Rattus norvegicus: one gene and its partners. The main gene of each other region encodes a partner of the protein of the gene in region 4 in a complex. Links are inferred from orthologs where the notes say so. Each region holds a gene or a part of one and is shown on either strand. Other genes may lie near its edges.

What was found.
Region 1: Aar2 (region 4) and Prpf8 share a complex: the UniProt entries of both Homo sapiens proteins name them as parts of the U5 snRNP complex. The link is inferred for Rattus norvegicus from reciprocal best matches to the Homo sapiens genes AAR2 and PRPF8.
Region 2: Aar2 (region 4) and Cd2bp2 share a complex: the UniProt entries of both Homo sapiens proteins name them as parts of the U5 snRNP complex. The link is inferred for Rattus norvegicus from reciprocal best matches to the Homo sapiens genes AAR2 and CD2BP2.
Region 3: Aar2 (region 4) and Snrnp40 share a complex: the UniProt entries of both Homo sapiens proteins name them as parts of the U5 snRNP complex. The link is inferred for Rattus norvegicus from reciprocal best matches to the Homo sapiens genes AAR2 and SNRNP40.

Annotation. Positions count from the first base shown.
Region 1 is NC_086028.1:60,844,931-60,851,784, forward strand, and holds part of Prpf8 (pre-mRNA-processing-splicing factor 8), read left to right. Parts: coding exon 1-111; intron 112-267; coding exon 268-397; intron 398-496; coding exon 497-643; intron 644-873; coding exon 874-1,034; intron 1,035-1,687; coding exon 1,688-1,879; intron 1,880-2,276; coding exon 2,277-2,514; intron 2,515-2,644; coding exon 2,645-2,773; intron 2,774-4,065; coding exon 4,066-4,179; intron 4,180-4,252; coding exon 4,253-4,426; intron 4,427-4,670; coding exon 4,671-4,864; intron 4,865-5,927; coding exon 5,928-6,167; intron 6,168-6,265; coding exon 6,266-6,407; intron 6,408-6,778; coding exon 6,779-6,854. UniProt on the Homo sapiens protein: Plays a role in pre-mRNA splicing as core component of precatalytic, catalytic and postcatalytic spliceosomal complexes, both of the predominant U2-type spliceosome and the minor U12-type spliceosome.
Region 2 is NC_086019.1:191,239,842-191,247,612, reverse strand, and holds Cd2bp2 (CD2 antigen cytoplasmic tail-binding protein 2), read left to right. Parts: upstream 1-3,721; 5' UTR 3,722-3,733; exon of another isoform or gene 3,734-3,747; intron 3,748-3,780; exon of another isoform or gene 3,781-3,819; intron 3,820-4,213; exon of another isoform or gene 4,214-4,219; 5' UTR 4,220-4,242; coding exon 4,243-4,320; intron 4,321-4,521; exon of another isoform or gene 4,522-4,523; coding exon 4,524-4,656; intron 4,657-4,778; coding exon 4,779-4,936; intron 4,937-5,041; coding exon 5,042-5,477; intron 5,478-5,551; coding exon 5,552-5,658; coding exon of another isoform or gene 5,659-5,733; coding exon 5,734-5,844; 3' UTR 5,845-7,714; downstream 7,715-7,771. Other genes in the region: Tbc1d10b (TBC1 domain family member 10B), read left to right, coding at 1-131, 217-858. UniProt on the Homo sapiens protein: Involved in pre-mRNA splicing as component of the U5 snRNP complex that is involved in spliceosome assembly.
Region 3 is NC_086023.1:147,982,170-147,989,918, reverse strand, and holds the start of Snrnp40 (U5 small nuclear ribonucleoprotein 40 kDa protein), read right to left. Parts: upstream 5,130-7,749; 5' UTR 5,091-5,129; coding exon 4,947-5,090; intron 2,259-4,946; coding exon 2,129-2,258; intron 1-2,128. UniProt on the Homo sapiens protein: Required for pre-mRNA splicing as component of the activated spliceosome. Component of the U5 small nuclear ribonucleoprotein (snRNP) complex and the U4/U6-U5 tri-snRNP complex, building blocks of the spliceosome.
Region 4 is NC_086021.1:165,515,176-165,522,674, forward strand, and holds the start of Aar2 (protein AAR2 homolog), read left to right. Parts: upstream 1-2,348; 5' UTR 2,349-2,683; exon of another isoform or gene 2,684-2,789; coding exon of another isoform or gene 2,790-2,852; intron 2,853-6,007; coding exon of another isoform or gene 6,008-6,052; coding exon 6,053-6,809; intron 6,810-7,499. UniProt on the Homo sapiens protein: Component of the U5 snRNP complex that is required for spliceosome assembly and for pre-mRNA splicing.

The DNA of each region.
Region 1 (6,854 bases), on a different chromosome or scaffold from region 4:
CCTCAACAACTACCGCACAGACATGATCCAGGCACTGGGCGGTGTGGAGGGCATTCTGGAACACACTCTCTTCAAGGGCACTTACTTCCCAACCTGGGAAGGTCTGTTCTGGTAAGGACTCTGCCTCCTTACAGGGATCTGTCACAACTCTCTGAGCTCAGCACTTCTGTGCTGTGGTAGCCTGCTGCTTCTTACTTAGCCCAGTGAGGGTTAGGCACCTCTGGGAGGGGGATGGGCAGCATCTCATTTAATTCCTCTGTTCATCAGGGAGAAAGCCAGCGGGTTTGAGGAATCCATGAAGTGGAAGAAGCTGACCAATGCTCAGCGATCAGGATTAAACCAGATTCCTAATCGTAGATTTACTCTCTGGTGGTCCCCAACAATCAATCGAGCCAATGTGAGTATGATTCTTCCACAAGGGAGATGGGGAAAGGGGTTTCTTACGCCTTTATCTTTGTCCTAAGAGCTGGTCTCTGGTCTCTCTCTTTCCTGGCAGGTATACGTAGGCTTCCAGGTGCAGCTGGACCTGACAGGAATCTTTATGCATGGCAAGATCCCCACGCTGAAGATCTCTCTCATCCAGATCTTCCGAGCTCACTTGTGGCAAAAGATTCATGAGAGCATCGTGATGGACTTGTGTCAGGTGAGCTGCCGCTGAGGGGTGACATCACACAGTCACATCCGTCTGTGTGGCCTTGGCCTGGAGATCCTTAGGCTGGCTACCTAACCTGCTTCCCAAGGGCTTAGATTATGCACTGCCACGCATAGCCAGCTTGGGAAAATTTATCCTGGACAGGCAAGGATTAGACTCTGTTGCCTCATCTAAATTCTCTCAGCTCTCAGTGTATGTGGATTTCTCATCTTTACTTCTAGGTCTTCGACCAGGAATTAGATGCCCTGGAAATTGAGACAGTACAAAAGGAGACAATCCATCCCCGAAAATCCTACAAGATGAACTCTTCCTGTGCAGATATACTGCTCTTTGCTTCCTATAAGTGGAATGTCTCCCGGCCCTCGCTGCTGGCAGACTCTAAGTAAGTAACTTTTTTTTTTTTTTTTTTTTTTCGGAGCTGGGGACCGAACCCAGGGCCTTGCGCTTCCTAGGCAAGCGCTCTACCACTGAGCTAAATCCCCAACTCCGATAAGCATGTAACTTAAAAGAGTTAGCCCTGCCTCTTTTGTTTTGTTATTCTGGCTTTAACCTTATAATACTATTGCCTCAGCCCCTCCAAATGCTCGCTGTACAAAAGTGGGCACCATTCCCAGCTTTTGGTTGACATTCTTTTAAACTTGGAGGCAGTGCTAGCCCTTGTAACCCATCAGCAGTCAGACCTACCCGTTTCCTGGGGGGGGGGGGGGGGTCTTGCTGATTTGTTTGTTTGTTTGTTTGTGGTTTGTTTTGTTGTTTTTTTCTGTTTGAGACACAGTTTCTCCATGTAGCCTGCCCGTCCTGGAACTTGGCCTGTAGACCAGGCTGGCCTTGAATTCAGAGATCCATCCACCTGACTCTGCCTTACAAGTGCTGGGGTTAAAGCCAAGCACCATTACTGAACGGCTAGGGGTCTTGCTGATCTACAATGAGGAGGGATGATTTTGAGATTTAGGTGCAGTTGGGAGTTCTCATGAGTCTGAGATGGTGGTTATGCTGTGGTTTCCTGAAAACCTGAACTTTTTCCCCTACCCTTAGGGATGTGATGGACAGCACCACCACACAGAAGTATTGGATTGACATCCAGTTACGCTGGGGGGACTATGATTCCCATGATATTGAGCGCTATGCCCGGGCCAAGTTCCTGGATTACACCACAGACAACATGAGTATCTACCCTTCACCCACAGGTGTGCTCATTGCCATTGATCTGGCCTATAATCTACACAGGTGAGTTAGGGCTCAGAAGCATCGGTTTGCCATTAGCCCTGCACTTTCTGTATTCGTTTCATTTATTTAAGTGGGATCTCATTATATAGCCTTAGCTGTCCTAGAACTATGTAGACCAGGCTGGCACCAAGCTCACAGAGATCCTCCCTCTTCAACTTCCCGAGTGCTGGTGCTAAAGGTGTGTGCCACCACGCCCTCCCTGCACATTAGTCTTTACACCAGTTTTAGTTTGTTTGGCTAAGATGAGGTTTTTTCTTCTGGGTCACTGACTGACTCTTCTCTATGTACATGTGTTAGCAGATTTTTGCATAAGCCTGGCCAACTTTCTTTGTCCCTTTGTTGTACTTGGAGCTTTCGGCCTGTGCTTAAGTTCTTGTGATTCCCTTCATCCTCACAGTGCCTATGGAAACTGGTTCCCGGGGAGCAAGCCTCTCATACAGCAAGCCATGGCCAAGATCATGAAGGCAAACCCTGCCTTGTATGTGTTACGTGAACGGATACGCAAAGGATTGCAGCTGTATTCATCTGAGCCCACTGAGCCTTACCTGTCCTCTCAGAACTATGGTGAACTCTTCTCGAACCAGATTATCTGGTTTGTGGATGACACCAATGTCTATAGAGTAACTATCCACAAGGTGAGCCTTGGATGCAGTGTGGGCACGCAGGCTTCAAGTGCCTATGAGAGAGTAAGACAAGCATGTACACACATTGGGTAAAGTCGGGGTGATTATGTAGGCCATGCTAACCAATATAACTGTTCTTTAGACCTTTGAGGGGAACTTGACAACCAAACCCATCAATGGGGCCATCTTCATCTTCAATCCACGCACAGGACAGCTGTTCCTCAAGATAATCCACACATCCGTATGGGCTGGACAGAAGCGTTTGGGTCAGGTACGCAGTTTAAATGATAGTGAAGCCACAGAACCTTGCTGTCTCTCATTCTTGGTAGGGGGCAAAGGAACATGATAAAAATACCTATTTCTCTATTGAGAGAAAGTATTGCTGGGTGTGGTAGCAAATATCTCAGTACTCAAGAAGCAGAGGGAAGAGGATTGCCATAGGTTTAAGGCCAGCCATGGCTGCACACAGTCAGAAAAGAGGTGGCGATAGTGTTGTGTGATTTACTCCCTGAAGTACTTGAGCTGAATGCAGAGCTTGTCAGCTTGCTTTGCTTTGGGAGTTAGAATTACAAGTGGCACTCTTCCCCCTCAACTGCCCCATCTGTGGCTGACATAAATGGGTGCTGGGAATCCACACTCTGGCCACAGCACTTGACTCAGTGACTCCGCTCCTCAGCCTCCCAGGGAAGTGTTCCCAGGGAGGAGGTCCAGCATGTGAAGGCCTTCATTACCTCTGAGCTGGGCTTTCTACATCCTAAGCCTCTCACTTCTGTTCTCTGTCTTAAAAGAGCAACTAAACATCATCTTTATAAAGAGAATGCACACTCTGTGGCTTCCTAGACATTTGCTACCTGACTGGGCTGTACCTACCCAGCCACATGTCTCATCTCTGTATCTGTAGTAAGTATAGTGTAATGATTACAAGTCCCCTTGTAATTTCCCCAAGTCCCAGCGCTCATCTCACTTCCAAGGCTTTGTCCGTATTTCTGTCTCTAGAAGAGCTCTCATTTTCACTGTGCTCACCGTAGTTCTAGCCAGGAAGACTCATTTCTATATGCAGCTTTTAGTTGTCTTAACTTTTATTTAGATTATTTTTTAAATTCTGTTATTAGTCTGGGCATGGTGGTACATGCCTTTTAATCCTACCAGTTGGAATGCAAAGGTAGGTTTATCTTTGCAAGTTTGAAGCTAGCCCCTTCTGCATACTGAGTTCTAAGCCAGCCAGGACTGCAGAGTGAGATCATGTCTCTAAAAACTAAATAGTATTTTATTTTAGCTGTATGTGGGGAGGGCATCAGCTCCGGGGCTACAGCTACAGGCAGTTGTAATCCGCCTGGTGTGGATGTGGGAACCACATCCTCACATCATCCATAAGAGCAAGCTTAACCTGAGAGCCAGTTTCAAACTGTAATTCATCACTAAACATGTAGGCATCTTTTTCTGATTACTAAGTTTGGCACTCATGTTTGTCATTATAGAAACGGTCTATTTCAAGATTTTTTTTTTTTTCTAGATAATTGAGGAAGGTCAACTCAGTTTGTTTTGGATTTTTTCTTCTATTAGTTGGCCAAGTGGAAGACTGCTGAAGAAGTGGCTGCCCTGATCCGATCTCTGCCTGTGGAGGAACAGCCTAAACAGATTATTGTCACTCGGAAAGGGATGCTGGATCCCCTGGAGGTGAGAGGTGGACACAGTAGAAGGTAGACTCAGGCCCTCTGGGCTGTGTCTCTGACTTTGGGCTTTGCTTTAGGTACACTTACTGGACTTCCCCAATATTGTGATCAAAGGATCAGAGCTCCAGCTGCCCTTCCAGGCTTGTCTCAAGGTGGAGAAGTTTGGGGATCTCATCCTTAAAGCCACAGAACCACAGATGGTTCTCTTCAACCTCTATGATGACTGGCTCAAGACTATCTCATCCTACACGGTAATTTGACACCTTAGGAAGGTCTCTCTAGTCAGGAGAAGTTACTGTGTGCCTCAGGGGTCTCCAGAAGTCACTTGATGAGATCGTTTTTAAATTCTTGACCTGTGTATACAAAGAGCAAGAACTCTTGCTGGGAGGTTGGCACCATAAGAAATTGAGGACAGCACTGGCTTCCCCCTGAGGATAGGGTACAGGAGGGGACTGTCACCAAGCTGACAGTCATACTTTGCACATGTTTCCCCAGGCTTTCTCCCGTCTCATCCTGATCCTGCGTGCTTTGCATGTGAACAACGATAGGGCAAAAGTGATCCTGAAGCCAGACAAGACAACCGTTACGGAACCCCACCACATCTGGCCCACGCTCACTGACGAGGAGTGGATCAAGGTGGAGGTGCAGCTCAAGGATCTGATCTTGGCTGACTATGGCAAGAAAAACAAGTGAGTAGGGCAGGTGTCATAGTGCAGCCAGGGCAAGGTTCTGGAGTTTGGAAACATTTAGGCTTACAAGTGTCTCAGATATTTTACCTGTGCTTGGTAATGTGTGCCTGTCATCCCAGAACTTGGTAGGTAGAGGCAAGAGGTTCAGGAATTCAAAGTTATCTTTAACTACATGAGTTAGAGGTTAATCTAGGCTACATAAGGTCGTGTCTCAAAAGAAAAATAACATCTTGGATACTTAGAAAGAAATGCAGTTCTCAGTGAAGGCACTGATACCATTTTGAAAAGATTCACTCTCTTTTTTGTTTCTGCTGTCTGCGTTTCTCTTGTTTTTTTTTTTTTCTTGTTTTTTTTTTTTTCCGGAGCTGGGGACTGAACCCAGGGCCTTGCGCTTCCTAGGTAAGCGCTCTACCACTGAGCTAAATCCCCAGCCCCTCTCTTGTTTTTAAGACAGGGTTTCATTCTGTATCCCAGGCTGGCCTTAAGCTCCCAACAACCTTCTTGCCTTAACCTTGTAACTGTTAGATTATCAGTATGTTTCACTCCATCCGATTTGAGAGTTTCCAGTTTCCATTTTTGAGAGTTGTCCTGTGTAGGGCAATTTTTGTGGGGGAAAGTAAGAGTAGAGGTGTGAAGCAGCAGGAGGACGTGTGAAGCAGCAGGAGGACGTGTGAAGCAGCGGGAGGACGGACGTGTGTGTTGTTGTCCTGCTGCTTGGATGCATGGAGTTGACGGTGCCGCAGCCTCTTCCTTTCATGCTTTTCTCAGAAGTGCCAGTTAAAGGATGGTTCAGGGATAAAGGTGCTTGCTACCCAGAACCTAAGTTCAATCCCTAAAACCCACAAGGTAGAGAGAAACCTTCTATAAGTTGTCTTTTGACCTCTACTCTTGCACTGTGATATGTCCCCCTCCTCCAGAGTAAATGCATTTAAAAGTTAAAAAGAAAAGAAATGTTACTTGAGGATTATCTTGGCCGAGTATACCCTGTTACCCAAGTCTACTCTACCATCAAGACAAAAGTGACTAGTAGGAGGGGCCTGTTTAACTCTCAGTGTCCCCACAGTGTGAATGTGGCATCGCTGACACAATCAGAAATTCGAGACATCATCCTGGGAATGGAGATCTCTGCACCATCGCAGCAGCGGCAGCAGATAGCTGAGATTGAGAAGCAGACCAAGGAACAGTCCCAGCTCACTGCTACACAGACTCGAACTGTCAACAAGCATGGCGATGAGATCATCACCTCCACCACTAGCAACTATGAGACCCAGACCTTCTCGTCGAAGACCGAATGGAGAGTCAGGTGCTGTGGAGGGCAGGAAGGTGGCGGGGTGCACAGGCCTGTGGATGTTGCTGGGTATGCTTGTGCTGCGGTGCTGACATGCCTTGTCTGTCCTTTAGGGCCATCTCTGCTGCCAACCTGCATCTACGGACCAATCACATTTATGTTTCATCTGATGACATCAAGGAGACTGGTTATACGTACATTCTTCCCAAAAATGTGCTGAAGAAGTTCATCTGCATATCTGATCTGCGCGCCCAAGTGAGTAACCATGGCCCACACCTGGACCACAGTGTGAGCCCACTTAGTCTGTGCCTGAAATTCACTTGATAGTCCAAAAACTTTGAGGTGCTGACTTCAGAATTCATGGATGAATGAATAACTTGAAAAAGACAGCACAAGCAAGAGGTATCAAAACATTTCATAAAGCCAGGGCCATTAAGAGGAAATATTACTGGGGTAGAATTTATTGCAGAGAGTAACAAATGTATTCAGACATGTATATAGTTGACATGGGGTTGGGATTTAGCTCAGTGGTAGAGCACTTGCCTAGTAAGCGCAAGGCCCTGGGTTCAGTTCTCGGCTCCGAAAAAAAAAAAAAAAAAAAGAATAATTTCTGATCTTATTTCTAGATTGCAGGATACCTATATGGGGTGAGCCCTCCAGATAACCCTCAGGTGAAGGAGATCCGCTGTATTGTGATGGTGC
Region 2 (7,771 bases), on a different chromosome or scaffold from region 4:
CTCTGGTCTTACTGCGACACACACTGGGCTCTGTGGAAAAGCTGCGCTCATGTCAAGGCATGTATGAAACCATGGAGCAGCTTCGGAACCTGCCACAGCAGTGTATGCAGGAGGACTTCCTAGTGCATGAGGTAGGCCACAAGCCTCAGCACACCCTGACCTGATTAAGCCCATTCCCACACAGGTCTATACTCTGGCTCCCATGTCTCTGTCTAGGTAACCACCCTCCCTGTGACAGAAGCATTGATTGAGCGGGAGAATGCAGCCCAACTGAAGAAGTGGCGAGAAACTAGGGGAGAGCTGCAGTATCGGCCCTCCAGGCGACTACATGGCTCCCGAGCCATCCATGAGGAACGCAGGCGGCAGCAGCCACCCCTGGGTCCTTCTTCTAGCCTCCTCAGCCTCCCTAGTCTCAAGAGCAGAGGCTCCCGGGCAGTTGGAGGGGCTCCTTCCCCACCACCTCCTGTCCGCAGGGCTAGTGCTGGGCCTGTCCCTGGGGCTGTCGTCATTGCTGAGGGACTGCATCCATCCCTTCCTTCACCTACTGGCAACAGCACCCCACTAGGCACCAGCAAGGAGATCAGGCGACAGGAGAAAGAGCGGCAGAAACAGGAGAAAGAGCGAGAGAAGGAGCGGCAGAGACAGGAGAAGGAGCGGGAAAAGCAAGAGAAGGAGCGGCAGAAGTGGGAGAAAGAGCAAGAGAAGGAACAGCAGAAGCAGGAAAAGGAACGGCAGAAGCTGGAGAAGAAGGGCCAAGGCCGGAAACTTTCCTTGCGTCGAAAGGCAGATGGGCCCCCAGCACCCCAGGATGGTGGGGACAGGTCAGCAGCTGAGGCCCGGCAGGATGCTTACTTTTGACCTCTTGTTGGGTCTGGATGGCATGACCCTCCTCCTCTCCCTCAGCCAACAGCAGCCCTGGCAGGGCTCTCCCAGCTCCCTTGGCAGGCTCTTCCTTTTTCTAAGGAAAGTGGCTTGATTCCCCTGACTCCTTGCCAGCTGCTGATCCCTACATGGCCGGGACAGCCACAGTGCATGGGACAGCTACATTTCCTAGGGTAACAGTGACCAAGTCTGGAGACTCTTTCGTCCAGTTAGGCTCAGCTTGGGTCTCTGTCACGCCTATGAAGTTCTTCTGGGGTGCTGTCTTAATTTGCCTTTGGTCACCACAGTGACTCTTGGCAATGGCAGTTAGCAGATTCTTACACTCCAGTGGCTTCCCTTAGATGGTGGAGCTAGGTTCCTTTTCCTGTCTTGGGGCCCTGCCTGTCATCCCACTGTTTTCTGGGGGCCAAGGCTGTTTTCTCTCCTGGATATCCTTGTGTTGTAATTATGTACAGAAGGTCAGATTGGCCTGGGGTGGGTGCTCTGTCCTTTCCCCATTCCACAGTGCGTCTACGCTCCAGTTTATTTAAGAGGATATGTTAGGAAGTGTCCTCCGTTTCCTTCCCACCCATGTCCTGCTCTTTCCTAGCCCACTTGCTCTGTATGTTCAGGCCTCTCTGCTGAGAGTCAGAAAGCCTATCTTTCATTTTGTTCCCTTCCAGCCATCAAGCCCCTCTCTGAATAAGGGTCTTCCCTTGAGTCCAGGGGGTGGAACCCAATGTTTACATTCTCTTCTGTCTTGGTCCCACCCCAGTGGCAGTTTCGTGGCGCTTTGAGGAACCGGAAAAAGAACCTGCTGTTCTATCTGGATCTGTCTCCTGCCTTGTTATTTGAAGAGTGCTATAGAGTAAGGGGGAAGGAGCCAGGAAGAAAGTCTGACTCTCCATAGGTTCAGTCTGCTGATCTTGGCAGGAACATCTAGACCACTGGTTCTCAACCTTCTTTTTTTTTTTTTTTGTTCTTTTTTTTCGGAGCTGGGGACCGAACCCAGGGCCTTGCGCTTCCTAGGTAAGCGCTCTACCACTGAGCTAAATCCCCAGCCCCTCTCAACCTTCTTAATGCTGTGACCCTTTAATACAGTTCTTCACATTGTGGTGACTCCAACCATAAAACTATTTTCATTATTACTTAATAACAGTTTACTACTGCTGTGAATCATAATATAAGTTTCTGTGTTTTCTGATAGTCTTAGGCAACCCCTGTGAATAGTATTCGACCCCCAAAATGAGTCACAGTAAACCCTTGCTCCATCTCTCATCAACAATCAGTGGTCCAGCTCCTCCTCAGCTTTGCCTGGGATCTGCTGCCTCCACTGTCACTGGCCTCCTGGGACCCTCTGCACAGCTTACAGCCTCGGCCCCCTGGAAGCTGAAGGAGGGGCTTCGAGTGCAAGACCACCATCTTTAGATTGGGCTGGGTTCTTGGTCAGCAGCATGGTGCAGCTCCTGGTACTGGGCTTCTAGGGTGGACAGACTGCTTTTGGTTCATCCCAGCAGGTGCACACAACCAAATTGTCCAGCTCTTGTTTTCTGTGGCAAGCTTTTTGCCCTCCAGTCTGGGTCAGGATGATAAAGTCTTCTGATAAAGCTTTTGTGGCCATAAAGCAAGAGTTCCACTTGGCAGATCTTCTTCAGGATGAGGATCAGGGTGTGGTCTCCAGGTAGAAGAGAAAATTCCTTCCAGATGAACCAGTAGTGCTGAGAGCTGGTGTTTTTTCAGGGTCCTGTCTATAGCAAGATGCTCTCTTGGTGTAGGACTTGTGTTTCTTTTACCTACAGAAGAAACTAAGATCACACCTTCAATGAAGTTTCACAGTGATTCAGAATGGGAGAAAACCCTGGAGGAGAAAGGTGGTGTCCGTTTGGCCACCCTCTTCCAGCTCTAGTAGGATCACCTGAGCTATCTAGCCTGAGGGTGGGGGTGGGGCAGAGGTGTTCAGGTTTTGAGTTTTTTCCCAGAGCTCCAGATCTAAACCTCACTATTAAGTTAGATCTCACTGGTCCCACCTTTGCAGGAGCTGAATTTCAGCACCTTGACAGTTTGCTAAGGGGTCGGGGTAGGCTTCATCTTGTAACTAATTCAAGAGCTTTTTTGGGACCTACACCTGAGAGCAGGGCACCATGGGCTTCTGCCTAATTACTCAGCACCAATGCCAGCGCCACCTCCTGCGACGGCTGTCCCACTACAGAAACTAGGAACTAAGTGGGGGAATAGACATGGTGCAAATGACTTCCTGGGTTCTAAAAGGATTTGGTTTGGAAAGTGCCCGAGTGCTTACAACCAGAAGCAGGACTCAGGGAGAAAAAGATTTAAAAAAAAATAAATGGTCTCATGTTGTATCGCAGACTGGCATCAATCTCGCGACAATCCTGTTTCAATTTCCTGAGTGTTGGGATTGCGTTAAACTCGGAAACCCGAGTTTCTACTGAATGCCATTAGGCGTACATAATCCTATCCATAAATGCAAACTGAAACCCAAGGCCCCTGTTCGGTCTGTGTCCCTCCAACCGGGCCTTGGGAACCTCTTTTAGCAAACAGAACGCCACGTCTTCACCGTCTCCTCCATTGCAGAGGAATAATAAAACATTTCCCGCCATCTTCAAATCCCGTGAGGCAAGTACGGAGTTCACGCGAGTCTTTGCAGGTCTTACGTTACTTCCTGCGGAGAGTCGGCCTTGGCTAAAGGGATACATCCGCCCGTTCTGCCAGTCTTTTGGATAGAAGTGAAGCCACTTCCGGGTCCTATGGCAGTCTTCACAGTCTTTTTCCGGGTGATGGAGGCGGATGCCCCGGATGTAATACCGGCGAAAGCATCTTTCCTTTTCTTTCCCGTCTGACCCTGGATTCCTAGGTGAGCGTCAGCGGGTAAGATTGTTTGAATCCCTGCGGCTTTGCCTCGCTTCTAGCTTCTACGCCGAGTTGGACATGGCCGAGCAGGTCGCTATGTGGAATTCGGGTTCCGAGGCTACTAAGGCGCCAGCTCTTGCGTCCGACCGGCCTCTGAGGGCACTCGGGTGGGAGAGGTGGTTGAGCTCTGTAGCTTCGGACTGGTAGGGAAGTGATGACGTGGGGGGAACCTGCTCCCTACCCTCCCACACACCTAGGTGGGAGTACCCACAGGGTCCACGCGGGGGCGGAGATCCTTCACATGTTCTCCCTTTTGGGCCCCTGCATTGCCAAATCAATTCCGGACGTCGTACCTGCTAGTTCTTTCAGATGGTTTAGTGATCGGTCCTCTCTCAAATTTACCAGGAAAAATCTTTGTGGAGCCTGTACACTCTCGCGGCCCTCTCTTGTTACTTAATTTCCTCACTTCCTATCTTTTCCCGAGGTCCAGCTGGAGGAAATCTATTGCCAATCATGCCAAAGAGGAAAGTGACTTTTCAGGGTGTTGGAGATGAGGATGATGAAGATGAAATCAGTGTTCCCAAAAAGAAGGTGAGATGGCCAGATCTCTAAGTTCTATGGAGGCCTAAGGGGAAAGGAGAGGGAGCAGTCCAACGGGAGAAAAGCTGGAAGCCAAGGAAGGGTTAGTTTTTCCCAGTCACTGGGTTTGGAAGGATTCGAGTTTATGTACAGATCCTGGAATATTCGAGGAACTAGCCAGTCTTCCTTTCTCATTTACTTCGTCCTACTCATAGCTGGTGGACCCTGTGGCTGGAGCAGGTGGTCCTGGGAGCCGCTTCAAAGGCAAACACTCTTTAGACAGTGATGAAGAGGATGATGACGAGGGGTCCAGCAAATACGATATCCTGGCCTCAGAGGATGTCGAAGGTGAGCTATTTCCAAAGCATTAACTGTGTTGGAGGGACAGGTTTTAAGTAGGGAGGTGGGAGGTGTACTGCCTGTTTCTTTTTTGCATGTCTAGCATGGGGCCCCCCATGTCTTTGGTGCAGGTCAGGAAGCAGCTACTCTCCCTAGTGAGGGGGGTGTGAGGATCACACCCTTCAACCTGCAGGAGGAGATGGAGGAAGGCCACTTTGATGCAGATGGCAACTATTTCCTGAACCAGGATTCGCAGATCCGAGACAGCTGGCTGGACAACATTGACTGGGTGTGGCCCAGGATCTGTCCTGGCTGAGCTCAGCCTGGGAATGCTGGTGCTGGGCCTGGGTCCTGGTGGAGTTTGTAAGAAACGATAACTATCTTTCACTTATAGGTGAGGATCAAGGAACGGCCACCTGATAAGCAGCAGGTTTCGGACTCAGAGGAGGAAGGCAGCCTGGGTCAGACTCCAATGAGTGTCCAAGCCCTCCTGGAGGGACTTCTGGAGTTGTTACTGCCAAGAGAGACAGTGGCTGGGGCACTTAGGCGTCTGGGGGCCCGAGGAGGAGGCAAAGGGAACAGCAAGGGGACTGGACGGCCCAATTCTCCCCAGCGTCTAGACCGGCTATCTGGGTTGGCTGATCAAATGGTGGCTCGAGGCAACCTTGGTGTATACCAGGAAACAAGGGAGCGTTTGGCTATGCGACTGAAGGGTTTGGGGTGTCGGACCCAGGGATCCCATGACCCCACACCTCCACCCTCCCTGGACATGTTTGCTGAGGAAGTAACAGAGGGGGAACTGGAAACTCCAACCCCTACCCATAGAGAAGGTAAGAAGGGCACAAGAGGGGCAGTGTGGGCAGGAGACCGGGTGCTTGAGGCCCAAGTTTCTTCATTGTTTTAGAAGCAGATTCAGCTGGAGATGGTCTGATGGATGTGATGTGGGAGTATAAATGGGAGAACACGGGGGATGCTGAGCTGTACGGACCCTTTACCAGTGCCCAGATGCAGGTAAGCCCCTTCCCGCCCTGGCTGTCCACCCCAGCTTCTGTCATCTTGCCTCAGTTTTGTCCTCTGTTCTTACAGACCTGGGTGAGCGAAGGTTACTTCCCGGATGGTGTTTATTGCCGGAAGCTGGACCCTCCAGGCGGTCAGTTCTACAATTCCAAGCGCATTGATTTTGATCTCTACACATGAGCCCGCTAAGGGCCCCGTTTGGCAGCCCCTTCTTTCTTGAACTTGGCAGAGGAGGTCCCAACTGCCCTGGGCAGTGAGGATATTGGAGGCCACTCTAAAGCCAGTGTCTCTTTGTCAATAAAAGCCTTGAGTATGCATCAGGGCCTTGACTGGGCTAATGGCCAAAAGCCAAGGCTTCTCCATAGCTCCTTTTGGCTTCACCTGGTGGGTCCTTGAGTTTCCTCCCAAGAGACTTCCTCTCATGCTTCTCTGGTGTCTTGGACCACCTCCGTTTTGTTTCCCACCTTGGAGGCAGAGGGAGGGCCCATCAGGTGTCCTGTGTAAAATTCCCTCTATCACTCTGTTCTCTGTCATGCTGATCTTGGCTTTTAGGACCTCACATTCTCTGCCCTGGCAGCTCCTTTGTAGCTGGGACATTAGGAAGACTTTGAAATCCTATTGGGAGATCCTCTTAAACATGGATTCTCCCCTTCTCCCTAGTCTGGTTTTACTACCCCTCACCCTCCTGCAGTAGTTTCCATAGCTCTTAGGTGAAGTATGAACTTGGTAGCACTTCAAGGTTACTTGGGCCACCATGTGATACAGCGAGGGGCAAAGGGCAGGGACTTACTGGAGACCTCACAGTAAACTAGAGAGGTGGCCCATTCACCTATTCCCTGACCTTTCTTGGCATAAGCTTTTCTTGCTTAGCCTTTCAAGCATTGTCTACATTTCCTGGGCTCCCACGTCTTGGGCGTGGGGCTAGTGCCTTGAGGAAACCTCTGGTCTGGTCCCCATGCAGGAATCCAGAGTGTGAGAGGCAGACAGGGACCTGACAGTTCTCACCCCACCAGTGCTGCTTTCTGCTCACCTTGTCTGTACAGGAGGCCCCAAGAGCTGCAGGCTAGTGGGTCCAGGCTAAGGACTTGGGAAGTGGGGTTCAGCTCAGGCTTGGCTGCAGATGTTAGATGCAGAGACTTCTGACCTGTCTAACAATTAGACCTGTTACTGCCAGTGTAGGGACAGATGGTTTCTTTGACTTCAAGAAGCCCATTAGTGGAAAGACATCTGACTTGGTATGTTACTAAGACAGCGATAACCCTGTAGTTATTTGTAAGGTATTACTGGTTAAAGAGGAACCAGCTTTCTGAGATACTTAGCAGTGAAAACCTGGTGTCTTGGGATGAGTAACATCCAGTCATGTTGCCTGACTGATTGTTCACAAGTGTTTGGTGAGAGAGACACCGAGGTGCCCTCCAGGTTCCTCAGACTTAGCTGATCTAAAGCTGATCTCTTCCTCATGCTCTCTGAGGCACTTCCTGATAATACCCAGGAAGGGCAGAACATCCCTGAAGATACACACATCTGAGCCCCAGACTGGGTGAATATTACTTATGTTTTATGTGGCAGAGGGAAAGTGTAGGAAAGGGATTATGTAGAAGTGACGTTGAGGTTTGGTTTGGTTTTGGTTGTTTTTTGTTTTGTTTTGTTTTGTTTTTTAATTTTTTGAGGTGGGGTCTCACTGTGTAGCCCTGGCTGGCCTGAAACTCACAAGAGATCTGCCTCCCCAAGTGTTGAGACTAAAGGTGTGTGCCATGATGCTGAGCAAAATTGAGAAATTTTGAGACTGGGAGATTACCTTTGATTATTGGGACCATTGTGATCTCGGGGTTCTTACGCTGGAAAAGGAACTGACTCCTAACAAGATCAGAGAACTGAAAGCTGGAAGAGAGGAGTATGTGTCAGGGTGCCGGTGGCCTGGAGAGCCGGGAAGGCAGAAGGCAGGTCCTTCCCAGCCAAGTGTAGCCCCACACTGATAACCCAGTGAAACCCACTTTGGACTTGTACCCTCTCGAATTGTATGATAATAAATTTGTGTCGAGCTGCTTAAGTTGTGGTGATTTAACAAAGCACTGGAAGAAAGTGAATATACACCCACCCACTCTGG
Region 3 (7,749 bases), on a different chromosome or scaffold from region 4:
CCAGCTGACGGGCCCCAGAGTTCTGCCTGTCCACCTCCCCAGAGCCGAGACACAAGCACATGCCACCTTACCCGGCTTTATATGAGTTCTCAAAATTGAACTCAGGTCCTAACTGACTGTGCTGTTTTCTCTCAGCTTTATGAGACAAGATTTATTCTTATTTTGAGTATCTTGCTTGCGAGTATGTATGTATATACAGATATATATGTATATACACACACATATATACATACATATACACACACGCACACATATATACATGAATATATGTATATGTATAGCACATTCATGCCTGGTAACTATGAAGGCCAAAAGAGGGAGTTGATTCCCTGGAACCGGGATTACAGATGGACGTGAGCCACCATGTAGCTAATGGGAACTGAACCTGGGCCCTCTACAAGAGCAGTATCTGCACTCACCTGCTGAGGCATCATTCCAGACCCTCAGCTTTCATTTTTAAAAAGCTGGTACCTTGGGCTGGAGAGATGGCTCAGTGGTTAAGAGCACTGACTGCTCTTCCAGAGGTCCTGAGTTCAGTTCCCAGCAACCACATGGTGGCTCACAACCATCTGTAATGGGATCTGATGCCCTCTTCTGGTGTGTCTGAGGACATCTACAGTGTACTCCTATACATGAAAAAAAAAGTTGGTACCTTTACTTATATGCTTTGAATCTAGAGTCTGAACAGAGGAACATTAAGCTATAGTACCTATGAACCACCTTCTCTTTAGTTCTATTGATTCTTTAAAGCTGTGTGTGTGTGTGTATATGTGTGTGTGTGTGTGTGTGTTTTCACACTCTCACATACCCTCAGGTCAGAGGAGAGCATTGGATTCCCTGGAACTGTATTATAGATAGTTGTGATGTCAGGTGCTGGGAACTGAACTCAGGTCCTTTGGAAGAGCAGCAAGTGGTCTTTTTTGTTGTTGTTCTTTTATTTTATGTACACTGGTGATTTGACTACACATAAGCCTGTGTGAGGGAGTCGGATCCCCTGGAGGAGTTACAGATGGTTGTGAGCTGCCATGTGGGTGCTGGGAATTGAACTCAGGTCAGCAGCCAGAGCTCATAACCGCTGAGCCATCTCTCCAGCCCATTGTTTGCTTTTGTTTTTTTCTGTTTTTTTTTTTTTTTTTTTTTTGAGACAGGGGTTTTTCTGTATAGCCCCGGCTGTTCTGGAACTCCCTCTCTAGATCAGACTGGCCTTGAACTCAGAGACCAACCAACCTTTGCCTCCAGAATCCTGAGATTAAAGGTGTTAGCACGTCCAGCTAGCAACTGCTGAGCCACCCATTCAAACTGTACTTATTTTTTTTTTTTTTTTTTGGTTCTTTTTTTTCGGAGCTGGGGACCGAACCCAGGGCCTTGTGCTTCCTAGGTAAGCGCTCTACCACTGAGCTAAATCCCCAACCCCTGTACTTATTTTTTAAAGTATGGGTATTCTTAATGAGGGTTGAGAATCAGGTAGCAAATGATTTAAGTTAGTTCCTCCTGAAGATTCTGATCTTTCTCCCTCATATATGAGGGTCCTAGGTATGGATTAAGGCCCCATGTTTTTACAAGTAGAACAGTTCTCTCTTTCTTCTTAATGCTCAGTAACCATTAAAGCCAAACTGATGCTCTTACTAAATCAGTTCAAGAGTTGTCTCCAGGGGAAGAAAAAATTCAGCTGCTCTTGGTAGCACGAGCCTGTAATTCTAACACTTGGGAGGCAGTGGCAGGAGGATTAGACATTCCAAAGTCATTCTCACTACATAGCCAGTTTAAGGTCAGTCTGGCGACATGAGCCAGTAGGACAGTAGGAGAATGGAAGAGGGGAGGGGGAAGGAGATGGGGAGAGGAGAAAGAGAGCCAAGAAGATTATTTAACTCCAACCAAAGCAACCCACTTTCCAATTAGCACAACGGTTCCTTCTTCTTATTTACCACATGCACCCGAGGTTGTACCAGAACGTGTGCTCAGCATTTTACCACGCAGCTTTAGCTAACTGTAGCTGGCTTAACCTCCCAAATTAGACAGATGCCAAATTAGACTGATGTCTGATGCCTCCTATGGATGGCACTCAAAATGAAAGAGATCATATTAGCAGAGAGCAGTTAGTAACTCCAGTTCAAACACTGTGCCTTACGTATGAGTCGGTCAAATCCTGCAGAAGCCAGGGTAGATCCATTGGGGTGAAACTTGCAGCAATACACTTCCCCTTCGTGTCCTGAGAGCAGCATGATGGGGGCTTGAAGGGACGAACACCTTGGCGGTCCCTAAACCAAAGACAAGTGTGAGGAATGGAACGCTGGGGGCAGTGCATCTCATCTGCTCAGGGCACAGCACCTCTGCTCACAGAACTCCTCCTGCCTCTGGATAATCCCGTGGACAGTCCAGCGTATGCCCTATGTGCTCTCTCCTTCCTAAGGCTGTTTTTGTTCCACAGCCAACTTTTGACTGCTTGGTCACATTGAACTCCTTTATGCCTCAGGGTCTTAACAGAGAAAGATGTCTTCTATAGAAGCACTCACCTTATTTTGTGTCTGTTAAGTATTGCCTCCCCAGAGTCTGTCTTTCATCACTCACACTATTTTGAGTGAGGCAGCCCCCCTACCCCTTATTCCACTGGGTCCAGGGCACTCTGTCAAAGCCCCATCACTACCTGAACTTCCTTCTCTTACATCATTGCTCATACCTTTCTTTTTCCCCAAAGAAATGAAGCTCTGGTCGTTCTCCATTTTTCTGTCTCTAGTCCATCCAGTTAGCCTTTGAAAAACCCAGTGGGGTACAGTTTATTATGCAAAATAGATTTTGGGGCATGAGCGGGGTGGGGGGGGTCTTTTTTTTTTTCTTTTTTCTTTTTTTTTGGAGCTGGGGACCGAACCCAGGGCCTTGTGCTCGCTAGGCAAGCGCTCTACCGCTGAGCTAAATCCCCAACCCCGAGCGGGGGTCTTAATATGTAGCCCAGGCTGGTCTTAAAAATTTTCAGTCCTCCTAAGTGCTGGTATGACAAGTGTGTATCACTGTGTCAGGCTTAGCAAAGTAGATTTGATTGTGTGGTCTTGCACACTAAACCTAGGCAACCTTGTCAAATAAGAACCAGTGTATTACCAATAATCCTGAAGTCTCTTTAGTAGATCCCAGTATACTTACTTATTTTTATTATCATGTACTAACTACACCAAGTAATGGGTTTTATTACGAAATATCCATAAATGCAGATAATGTCCCATGGTCATACTCATCCAGTATATTTAGTCACAAAAATGTTACCTGTTGGCTAGAGAGATGGCTCAGAGATGCTCTCCTAAAGGACCCACATTCAGTTCTCAGCATCTTCAATGGGCAACTTTCAAGAGCTGTAACACCAGGTTCTGAGAATCCAACATTCTTTTTTTTTTTTTTTTTTTTAAGATTTACTTATTCATTTATTATATATAAGTACACTGTAGCTGTCTTCAGATACACCAGAAGAGGGTATCGGTTCTCTTTACAGATGGTTGTGGGCCACCATGTGGTTGCTGGGAATTGAACTCAGGACCTCTGGAAGAGCAGTTGGGTTCTCTTAACCGCTGAGCCATCTCTCCAGTCCAGAATCCAACATTCTTTTCTGGCCTCTGAGCCCCAACCCCAGCGCACACACACCTAACATATCTAGGCGCTGGAGAAGACAGCACTTGGTAAAACAATAGACCTTGCATTCTAGTACAAAGTGTGAGAAAGGCAGACAAGCAAACCCAAGTAAAACACCCCCTGTTGTGTGCCATGGGAAGAAACAATATGGGTTCCAGAGTGCAGGACACTTCAACCTAAAATACAGTTGTCAGAAGAGCCCCACTGAAAAGCTAGTATCTGAGCAAAGATTTGAAAGAGTCAATAGTTGACCATGTGGGCATTTACAAGAACATCCCAGCCAATGCACCACAGAAAAAGTAAGAACATATATGTGTGTGTGTGTGTGTGTGTGTGTGTGTGTGTGTCTGGAGCCAAGTGACATGCCAGAAAACTAGTAGATGAACAAGGTAAAGAGGGGAATTATTACAGAGAATTTCCTTTTTTTTTTTAGAAGGCAAGGATCAAGGTTACACAGTTCTCTTTCCTTTCAACAGGATTTTGCCATAATAATAGCTTAGATGCTTGAAGTCCTGGATCTTCCAGCCCCAGTTTCTCAAGTGATGATTATAAATGTGTGTATCCAGCTTTTTTGGGGGGTGGGGTGGGAGTGTCTTTCTATGTTGTACAGGTTGGCTTCCAATTCCTTCCCTTAAAATTTTCTTGTCGGTCTTCTGGAAAGCTGGAACTACAGTCCCACACGCCTTGCTCACTTTATTTGTATATTTTAAAGACCACCGCAAAAGGATTTGGTTAAAGAGTTGGGGCAGGAGTACACCTATTTCCTCATCTGAACGTGTGGCGGGTGTGATTACTATTTTACAAGACATGTAGTTAAAAGCATGGGTTCTGATTCAAAAAAGCTTGCTTTCCCCATTTTGCAAAATAACAGCTGCTTCCAGGCTGTTATCAAGATTAACGGAAATTTCACACGCAAAACATCCAAGAACCAACTAATGTTAATTACTATTATAAATGCAGAGAAAGAAAAAGCTGTACCAGGTAGCAAAGCGAGCCACTATCATTCATTTGCATTGCTTCTCCTCTCATTCATTCATTCGTTCACTCTGCCAACTTTCCTGAATGTTTCTTTTATGCTAAATCCCTGAAGATTTAGGATGCGGAAGCTTGGGTCTTGACTTTGAGGCCAAAGTTTTAAATGATTCAATGCCCCGGAAGGGCTAAAAACAGGCGTCTAACAGGGAAACACGTATGGAGCACACACAGAACACAAGGCACCTTTACAGAGGCCTATTTTAACTTCAGGCTCACTGCTTTTCCGTTCCTGCAGAGCTGATACCATCCGTAGGAAGAGGGGTTGGGGGCCGAAGGGGGGATGCCTCCTCACTTACCGTCTGCAGCAATGCCCCCGGAGTCGCCTGCTGTTGCCCGGCTCCGGGGCCGGATCCTGCGGCTCCCAACAGCAACTCATGTCGCGGCCGCTTGACGGGAACCAGGGGTAGCTCTGGGCCCTTGCGTTTCTGCTGCTCGATCATGGCGGCAACCACTACCCTCGGCGCCGCCAGTAACCGCGCCGCCTGCAGCAGGCGTTGCGCAATTGGTTTCAACTGAGTTCTTCCTCCAGAACTTCCGGAAGAGAGCAACCAATCGATTTCTAACATTTCCTTCTGCAACGCCCTCTGAATACACTCTTGCGATTGGTCTCTTCTTGATGACGTCACGAGAACTCCACTCTGGATTGGGTCGCAGAACTGACGTTCTCCTCCGCCCCCTCAGGCGCGCCGTGCATTGTGGGTGAGAACGAGCGGAGCAGATTCAGTGTTCCTAGGGATGAAGCGGCTGTCCTGTTAGGAGCGGACGCGGAGTGAGTGTGTGGGGAATCAGGCGGGTGGTTGTTACAATTTGGAAGTTACGAGTCAGGCCTGAGCCTACCATTTTCAGCTACCAGCTTTGGCAGCGGGGTGTGGCAGGGGATGTCCTCGGAAAGAGTCCCCGGAAAGAGAAGTCCTTTGGTAGGCTGGAGCAGAGCTTTGGGATCTCTGGATGCAGGACTCGAACTCTCAGGCCGCTATTCATTGACAGCTGCTCTGCAGGATGCCGATTCTGGATCCCACTCTGTGCTGGCCTTCCCAGGCCCGACTCCCGGCCTCCAGGCTTCAGTGCCTGGCTTGGCTGAGGCGGCGGACTTAGTTTTGTCACTGCTTTAGCCGTCTTTTCTAAGGACTTATTTATGTCCCCGAGACAGCCAGCGATAAGGAAAGTATCAGATGGCTCCCCAAAGCACAACTTTATTGAGAAGTCAAATAGTCGTGCTTACGTACCAGGCCTTCTCGAAAGTGGTCCATGGGGTTGGGGATTTAGCTCAGTGGTAGAGCGCTTGCCTAGGAAGCGCAAGGCCCTGGATTCGGTCCCCAGTTCCGAAAAAAAGAACCCCCCCCCCCAAAAAAAAAAAAGAAAGTGGTCCAAATGGTATTTATGATGCAGTGCGTTGGAGGTCATTCTGAAGAAACATGGTCCCCTACCTCAGGGTGTGGGAAACGTGTTAAGCAAATCTCACCAGTTGATCGGAAGACTACCTGAACGAGCGATGCCTCATGCTATGAGTTACTAATAGAAGCTTGAAGGCTTTTCAAAAGAAAAGATGGCTGAGCTGTTCCTATCTGATGGGACAGTTCTAATTATGGGACGAGAGAAAGGGAGAACGTTCTGCACAGAACAGCATGTGCAATGCCCTATCAGTTGGGAAGATGACTGAGACACAGTGGGTCTGAGCGGGTGTGCTGAGAGAGAGTGATTGAAGTGACTATGGTATGGGATGAACCCGGAGGTCATGAAGATTTGCAGGAAGTTGAAGCTTTTACTTTAAAATCAATAGGAAGCCAGTCAAAGTTTTCTCTCTTCTCCAGAATGTGGTGCAGAAGATGGCTTGATCCCTCAGACTTAATGGTGTGATGAAACTGGAGAGATAAGGGGAGGTTTACTGGGAACAAATAGACCATTTTGGGAGCATGAACAGTAGTTCTGATCAGCAATGTCAGTGAGAATCAAGGTGAGGTGGGACTGAAGACAGGTTTAACAGTTTCTTGGGATAGCAGGGAAGTAAATTGGATAGGATTTGGTGATGATGGATTGGATGATGCCTAAGAGAGGATTATGTGCTTAGTCCCAACATTGGAGGCCGAGAGACTGGAGGATTGCTACAAAACCAAGGCTAGGCTGGGCAACATTGGGATCTTTCAACTCACACCAGGCTGCTAGCATGACACCTTGTTTCATCCCCCTCCCCCCACCGCCCAAAACAGGGTCTAAATATGTACTTCTGGCTGTCCTGGAACTCACTATGTAGACCAGGCTGGCCTTGAACTCAGAGATCTACCTATTTCTGCCTCCCAAGTGCATGTATATATTTGTTCCTCATGAATGCCTAATGCTAGCATGTGAACTTCCATGGAGGTGCTAGAAACTCTAACCCCAAGTCCTTTGCAATTGTGTCTTCACTAGGGTTTTATTACTGTGAACAGACACTATGACCAAGGAAACTCTTATAAGGACAACATTTAGTCGGGGCTGCCTTACAGGCTTAGAGGTTTAATCCATTGGTGCAGGAGGAGCTGAGAGTTCTATACCTTCATCTTCTAGAAGATTGAATAGCAGTGTCGAAGCCCACCCCCACAGTGACACACTTCCTCCAGCAAGGCCACACCTATCCCAGCAAGGCCACACCTCCTAATAGTGTCACTCACAGGGACAAGAATATACAAACCACCACAAAGAATGACAAGTACTCTCAACTAATGAGACATCTCTTTCTAGCCCTTGCGTAGTGAGATTCTAGCTCACAAAGCCAGGGGCTGGGGCTGGGACTTCTGGGTTCAGTTCTTAGCACTGCAAGAAGACCTTTCCCATCAAATAAAAGTTTAAAAACTGGTTAAGGCTTCTGTTCTGTGGGAGGAGCAAACAAAAAAAGCTTTAGGCAGGGTAGAGTGAGTGGTACATGCCTTTAATCCCAGCACTCAGGAAGCAAAGGCAGGTGGATATCTGTGAGTTCAAGACTAGTCTGTTCTACATAGAGAGTCAGGACAGCCAGAGCTACATACAGAGAATCTGTCTCAAGAGAGAGATTTGATGGGGGGGGGGGTGTCTTAAGATATAGCTCTTCCTAATTTTATTTAGATTTTTTTAGAATCATTATTT
Region 4 (7,499 bases):
TCCTATTTTTTTGTGCAAGGCAATTGCTGTAGGGGGCTTTGAGAATGGTTTCCAGAATTTTCCTTGTAAGTTCCACTTAATGATCAATTACTTTTAGGATCCTGGAATGGATTACAAACACTGGGACTACACACCTCCTGGACCTGTAGCACCGTCTTTCTGCTTCTGGGAAGTAGTTCATCCAGCTCAGTGGTTTCTCGGCTTGCATTGGAAAGGGTAGCGAAGCAGTCTCTAGAAAGATCTTTGTGTCACAGTTGACCAGTGTTCTAGAGATGCGAGCCTATGTTTGCAGCAAAACTTCTAATCCACAGAACAGCTGTCTGCCACCATGAATTACCTGACCTCACATACCAACGGCACCAAAGTAGAGAAATCGTGCTTTGGGTGAACATGGTTCACAAAGTTGGATGTCCAGGCCAGCACCTATATATCCTGAAACTTCCATGTCCAATGTTAAATGTCCTGGACCTCTAAGCAGATGGGGAAGCCATGTGAAGCCACCTGGAAGCTGTTGACCACACATACCAGAGTTCAGCTCCTAAGACAGGAGCTGGGGAGGGAAGGTGAGCAGCTTCCCAAAGGAAATGGAACTGACCATAGAGGCTGAGATTGCCGGTCTGACTTGCCTCTGGCTAACCTTGGGGCAGCCCACTGTGATTAACCATGATTGCCCCATCTAGCCTATTCTGCAATCCCCCTACGAGATGACTTGAGAAGCTATGAGTGGGGCAGATTGACAAGTTCATCTATCACTGAGGAAGTCTGACACAGAAGCAGCAGCACAGGGGCCAGAACTCCAGCTGGTTTTATCAAGTTTTTTTGTTTTTGTTTTTGTTTTTGTTTGTTTGTTTGGTTGTTTTTTTTTTTTTTGCATCTGATCCCTGTACTCTCTGAGTCTGTAGTCCCTCTGTGAAGCTCAGTTTTCTCTTCTGTGAATTGAGAATACTAATTGCCAAGTTTTCATCCCTATACTGGGTCACTGTCTCAGAATTTTAGCACCAGTAAAAAGTGTGGACACATCTATTGGCAAGGGAGACTTGGTCTTGGTAAGGGACAGAAATGGGAAATAAACTCAGATCAAACCCTTGACCAACTGAAGGTTAGAGATATGCAGGTATGGTGAAAAAAAAATGAGACCAGTAAAGGGGGCGGAGGGACTCATCCTTTCTAGGGATGGCAAGGATTTGGATACAGCTTTTATGGTTTCTCGCCATTGACAACTGTCATGGTGCTGGAGGTAGGCATCTTAAGAGGCTCGATAATGGGGGCTGGAGAGATGGCTCAGTGGTTAAGAGCACCGACTGCTCTTCCTGAGGTCCTGAGTTCAAATCCCAGCAACCACATGGTGGCTCACAACCATCTGTAATGAGATCTGATGCCCTCTTCTGGTGTGTCTGAAGGCAGCTACAGTGTACTCATACAATAAAATAAAATCTTAAAAAATAAATTTATAAAAAAAAAAAAAAAAAGAGGCTCGATAATGAAGATGGAGGTCGTCCTCTGTTCTGTCAGTCATTGTAGATACAGCCAGTCTTGGTAAAGTCACCTGAAGAAGAGATTGATTGAAGGCCTTTGAAAATCCGGTCTTTACAGATAAACAAGCTTATAATCAGGTAGGTAGAGTTGGAAATACAAGATTAGAGGAGGGTCCCACATTGGCTAGGATTAGTGAAAAGATTAGAAGTAGTGTCTATATATCCCCCAGTGGCTCTGGTTCTTGGTGAATTCTGATGCACAGAACCACCCAGCACAAGGCTAGGCCCACAAATAGTCATTTATTATACCACATTATTTGCTTTGTTATTAAATGCACAGTACATCGATGAGGGCTATGTGCTAGGTTCTAAGGAAATCGAGAGGAAAAAGACAGGCAGGATTCCTCACTCAGTGCGCGATTTAGAGCTTGACTGTTGTATTCCGTAAGGCCTAGAAAACACTGGGTGGTCACTGCTGGAGGAACTGCTGTGGTGGCTGTTGAAAGAACTGCTTCTCTCTTTAGGCAACAGCCTTGGTTCTGAAACTAGGGAGACTTGGAGGTAATAGGGAACTTCTGACATGGTGACTGGCATAGTAAATGTGGCTGAAGTGTGACAAACCACGACTGTGTGCCAACACCTGGACCATGCTTTGGCTAGTCCGTGTCTGCTTGAGACCAAAGGACTGCAGCTGGTTGAGTATGTTTCTGGACGGGGATATAAAGTGTATAGTTTAATTAAAATCGTTATTCACAATTCGGGAAGTTAAATGAACCAGTAAGAAGAAAATGGCAGTGCTTTATCGTGAGGAACCTGGAAGCACGGGCCATTTCTTCTGAGACCGGGGACTCCGCCGGACTACTTTTTCTGTAGCACCTATCCGGCTCCAAAGCAGCCGAACTTCCGTCCAGTTTCCGCGGAGCCCGAACGTGAGGTAATACGGTGAGTGTCAGCTCTTGGTGCTCCTTTCGTCCTTTGGTTTCGTTAAATGTGATCGGGTCACCTCGTTTCTTGTCTCAGAATCGCGCCGGCGGAGTCTGAATTTGTGATCTGGTGTCTCGGGAGGCCTTTATTTCTGAAAACCCATCTCCAGGGACACCATGGTCAGGCTCTCTGGGGCTCACGAAGTAACTTTTCCCCCCTTTTAACTGTAGATCTTGGGAACCAGAGATCGTATACTCACTGGAGCTGGTTCTGCGTGGCTTCCTGTAAGTCACCCACCTGGCTTCCTGGCTTTATTTAAATGTATATTGTAGTAAGTAAGTTTTAAGCTTCGTGCATACGCTAGGGACCTAGGACTCGAGTTCTGGAGGCATGACAGTCTTCAATCAAGTACACAAAGTTACACACCAGTCACTGGAATTGAAAGGCTTCAAGGTATCCAGAGTATAATCACGGAACTTTTGACTTAGTCCTGGGTCGAGGAGGCTTTACAAGATTAGAAAAAAAAAAAAAGTTTGACAAAATGCTGTGGGTAGAGTTTTCTCTGGTTTGAGGGTCAGAAAGAAGCCAGTGTGGTTGGAACAGTCGTCGGATTGGGGTGGTATTAAGTAAGCTGAAGAATTGCCAAAAGTAATTCTTGTAGCATTTTCGGGCCATAGTAAGAATTTTATGTTCCCTAAAGCCAGATAGAGAAGGCATTGAGGACCAAGGACTCTTGCTCTTGGGAGTTGGTGAATAGGCTGAGGAGGTGTCTTTCTGTATTGCAGGGTTGTGAAGAATGCATCCCATTTGTATGTTCCAGACTTTTTTTGACTGAACTACAGGCACAAGACTTTTATGCAGTGACCACGCATAGAGGCACAGGCCTTCATGGAACCAGTCCTATCCTTGTTCCTTGTGGCATTTTGATGGCTTAAAACTTCTCTTCTCAGTGCTGGAGAGATGACTTGGTGGTTAAGTGACTTGCCTGCTCTTCCAGAGAATTTGGACTCAGTTCCTACCACCTTTATGGTGCTAAAACTACCTCTAACTCCAGTTTCAGGGAATTCAGCATCCTCTTCTGCTTTCTGTATAACTTTTTCCATTATTTCAGATTAGCTTTATGTCTAAAAATGATTTCTTAACTCAAGTTATGTCTTGCAGTTTGAAAAAGAGTGCTGATTTAGAGACCTTTCTTCTGTTTGTTTGTTTTTAAGGTAAAGACAATAAAGTGTACGCCTAATATTTTTTTAAAGATTTATTGTATTTATGAGTACACTGAAGCTATCTTCAGACACACTAGAAGAGGGCATCCAGCCCATATTTTTTGTAAAAGGATTTTTGTTTGTTTGTTTGTTTGTTTTAAATAAAAGAATAGGGGCTGGAGAGATGGCTCAGTGGTTAAGAGCACTGACTGCTTTTCCAGAGGTCCTGAGTTCAAATCCCAGCAACCACATGGTGGCTCACAACCATCTGTAATGAGATTTGATGTCCTCTTCTGGTGTGTCTGAAGACTGCTACAGTGTATTTATAATAATTAAATAAATCTTTTTTAGGGCTGGAGAGATGGCTCAGCGGTTAAGAGCACCCGACTGCTCTTCCAGAGGTCATGAGTTCAATTCCCAGCAACCACATGGTGGCTCACAACCATCTGTAAAGAGATCCGATGCCCTCTTCTGGTGTGTCTGAAGACAGCTACAGTGTACTTATATATAATAAATAAATAAATCTTTAAAAAAAAAAAATAAATCTTTTTTAAAAATTAAAAAAACAACAGCAAGACACACTTGATTTTCCTGATTGTTAATTTTGAGGCCACCTCTGTAAAACACAAACATCTGTTTTTCAGTGGTCTTATTCTGTGAATATTTCTTTTTTTTTTTCTTTTTTTTTTTTTTTTTGGTTCTTTTTTTCGGAGCTGGGGACCGAACCCAGGGCCTTGCGCTTCCTAGGCAAGCGCTCTACCACTGAGCTAAATCCCCAGCCCCGAATATTTCTTTTAGGGCCCAGTAACAATCCCGCACAGTGCCTGTAATCTGAGTGTGTGTCTGTTGGACTGGTGAGTGACTTCCTACTCAATTTAGTAAAAGTCGGAATAGTTGATTGGCTTAAATTGGTTCATGCTGAAAACATTCTTACAAATACTGCAGAGACAGCGTCTGCTACACAATTGTGTTTTACATTGTGTGCATGTGAGTGAATGATGGGGTGGTGGGTCATATGCTGGGGCAAGCATGTGAAGGTTAGACAACTTTGTGGGTTCTCTTTTCTCCTTCTACTTTATAGTATCTGGCCATCGAAGTGAGGTTGTCAGGCTTAAAAGGCAAATGCCCTTACTCACTGAGTATTTGCCAGCAACCCCTGATGCCTTTGTTTTTAACCAAAGGGTCTTTATAAGGAATTTAAATGTGGATAAAATAAAGAATCTAAGCCTCTCCTCAAATATTGTAGACCTGCCATGTCAGTCTTCTCTGGATGAATTGTGGCTCTGTGGGAAACTGTTTGATCCCTGGACTTTAGGTGGTTTTGTTTTGTGATTACTTGCTTGTTTTTAAGACAGTGTCTTGTGTACATATCGCAGTCTGGCTTCCAATTCACTGTGTAGCTGAGAATGACTTTAACGTCTGATCCTCCTGCCTCTGCCTCTCTCACAGATGTGTGTGTGTGTGTGTGTGTGTGCGCGCGCGTGTGCAAGGATCCTTTGTGTGCAATGGACAATCACTGTACTCAGTTAACTGTCTTCCCACCAGCTGCTTGTTTTCATTGTTTGATTTTTTTTTTTTTTCCGGAGCTGAGGACCGAACCCAGGGCCTTGCGCTTGCTAGACAAGCGCTCTACCACTAAGCTAAATCCCCAACCCTTCATTGTTTGATTTTTGAGACAGTCTCTAGCAATCAAGGGTGATCTTGAACTCCCGATTTCTCTGCCTCGGTCCAGCAAGGGTTGGGAATACAGGTGTGTACCACTGCACCCTGCCATGTTGTCTTTAAACTAGGAAACCAGCCCTTTCTTCTCCCTCATTTTCAACGAGGTTGTTGATGAGTGAAAGAAGGGAGTTTGAAAAGCTCTCCTCCACACCTCAGACTTTTTGTTAACTTTAGATGCTCATGGGAAATTAGGTAGCCAGTTTGATTTGGTCGTCTTTGACAGATCTTATGGTATTCTCCAGTAGCAGGTTTTAGGTAGAATTGTAGCTTAAGATGACTTTTGCATTGTTCTAGTTTAAAATGAGCCATTTGAACCTTTTCCACCTTCCCCTGCTGTTGAGAGAAAGACATCTGATGGGCAGTAGACACAAGCCTGCAGTACCAGCGGGCAGGTTTGCATTTGGTACTGTATGGCCACCTGTCTTTAAGGGATGCCCCTGGCGTGGTGGAATGAAGACTATTGCTCCTTAAATCACACCCCCAAATCTCTTCGATCCTGATTTTCCTCATCTGTTAGACAGATGCAGGGTTGTCATGGGGATTAAAGGGAGTTAATTTCTGTCAGGATCTAACTCAATATTTGATATAGAGAATGTGCAAGTAATAAAATAGCCTTTCCCCATATTCTGGTCAACTCATATTCATTCACTCTCTCCCACCCCCTGCCTCTCTCTGCTGTTCTAGGAGACAAAAAAAGAGTCCTGCTTTTGGTTACCCTCCACTGGCCTCATGGCTTCCATGCAGATGGATCCTGAGTTAGCCAAGCAACTCTTCTTTGAAGGAGCCACTGTGGTCATTCTGAACATGCCCAAGGGGACAGAGTTTGGCATTGACTACAACTCCTGGGAGGTGGGGCCCAAGTTCCGGGGTGTGAAGATGATCCCCCCTGGTGTCCACTTCCTTTACTACAGCTCTGTGGACAAGGCCAATCCCAGGGAGGTGGGCCCTCGGATGGGCTTCTTTCTTAGCCTGAAGCAGCGGGAGTTGACAGTCCTGCGCTGGAATGCAGTTCAGGAAGAGGTAGACCTGTCTCCAGCTCCAGAGGCTGAAGTAGAAGCCATGAGAGCCAATCTCCCAGAGCTGGACCAGTTTCTGGGACCTTACCCATATGGTACACTCAAGAAGTGGATCTCACTCACCAACTTCATCAGTGAGGCCACCATGGAGAAGCTGCAGCCTGAGAGCCGGCAGATCTGCGCCTTCTCAGATGTGCTTCCCGTGCTTTCCATGAGGTACACCAAGGACAGGGTGGAACAGAACCTACCGCTCTGTGGCACCGAGTGCAGAAGCTACCAAGAGGGCTTGGCCCGGCTGCCTGAGATGAAGCCCAGGGCGGGGACAGAGATCCGCTTCTCAGAGCTGCCCACTCAGATGTTCCCAGCAGGTGCCACACCAGCAGAGATCACCAGGCACAGCATGGACTTGAGCTATGCCCTCGAGACTGTGCTCAGCAAGCAGTTCCCTGGCAACCCCCAGGATGTCCTTGGTAAGAAGGAGCTAGGCTTTGGGGGAGGATGCTAGTGGGGGTGCTTAGAATAGAGGCTCATCTTGGCTTATCTGCCCAGTGTTCTTAAAGGAGGTAGGAGGTGGACTGCTAGTAGTCATTGGAATGCATCTTCACCCGTAGCCTAGAGACTTTAAGTCAAGAGCTCTAAAATGGGTCTAGCTGGCTGGCTGTCTTATCTAATGATTTGAGCATCTTACATGAGCCTGTGTACGTAATCCCATGTTTGAAAATTGCTGACATAGCCTACCCCTGCAAAGAGGAAGGATTTGACCAATAGTGGTCACGGTGAGATTGGAGCCCAAGGCTCCTAGTTGCTAGGCCTGATCTGTGTTCCTAGAAGCCTTCACCTAACATCTCAGTTTGCTTTTGAATTTTTTTTTTTTTTTTTTTTACCAGAGTTTATTTAGGGCATGGGGAGGGGAGTTGAGGGAATAGAGACAGAGAAAGGCAGAGGTGGGAGGGGAATGGGGAGAGAAGGCTGAGGAAAGAGAATAAGAGAGTACCTCGCTTTTGACTTCTTAAAATGTTTCTCTTTTTACTGGCTTAGACCAGGACTTTTATTTTTATTTTAATTGTTATAGTTTTATTGCTGCTTACACTCTTAATTTTAAAATAATATGTACTTATCACAGAATAAAAATAAAATTTACTCTAAGTCCTATACCTAGA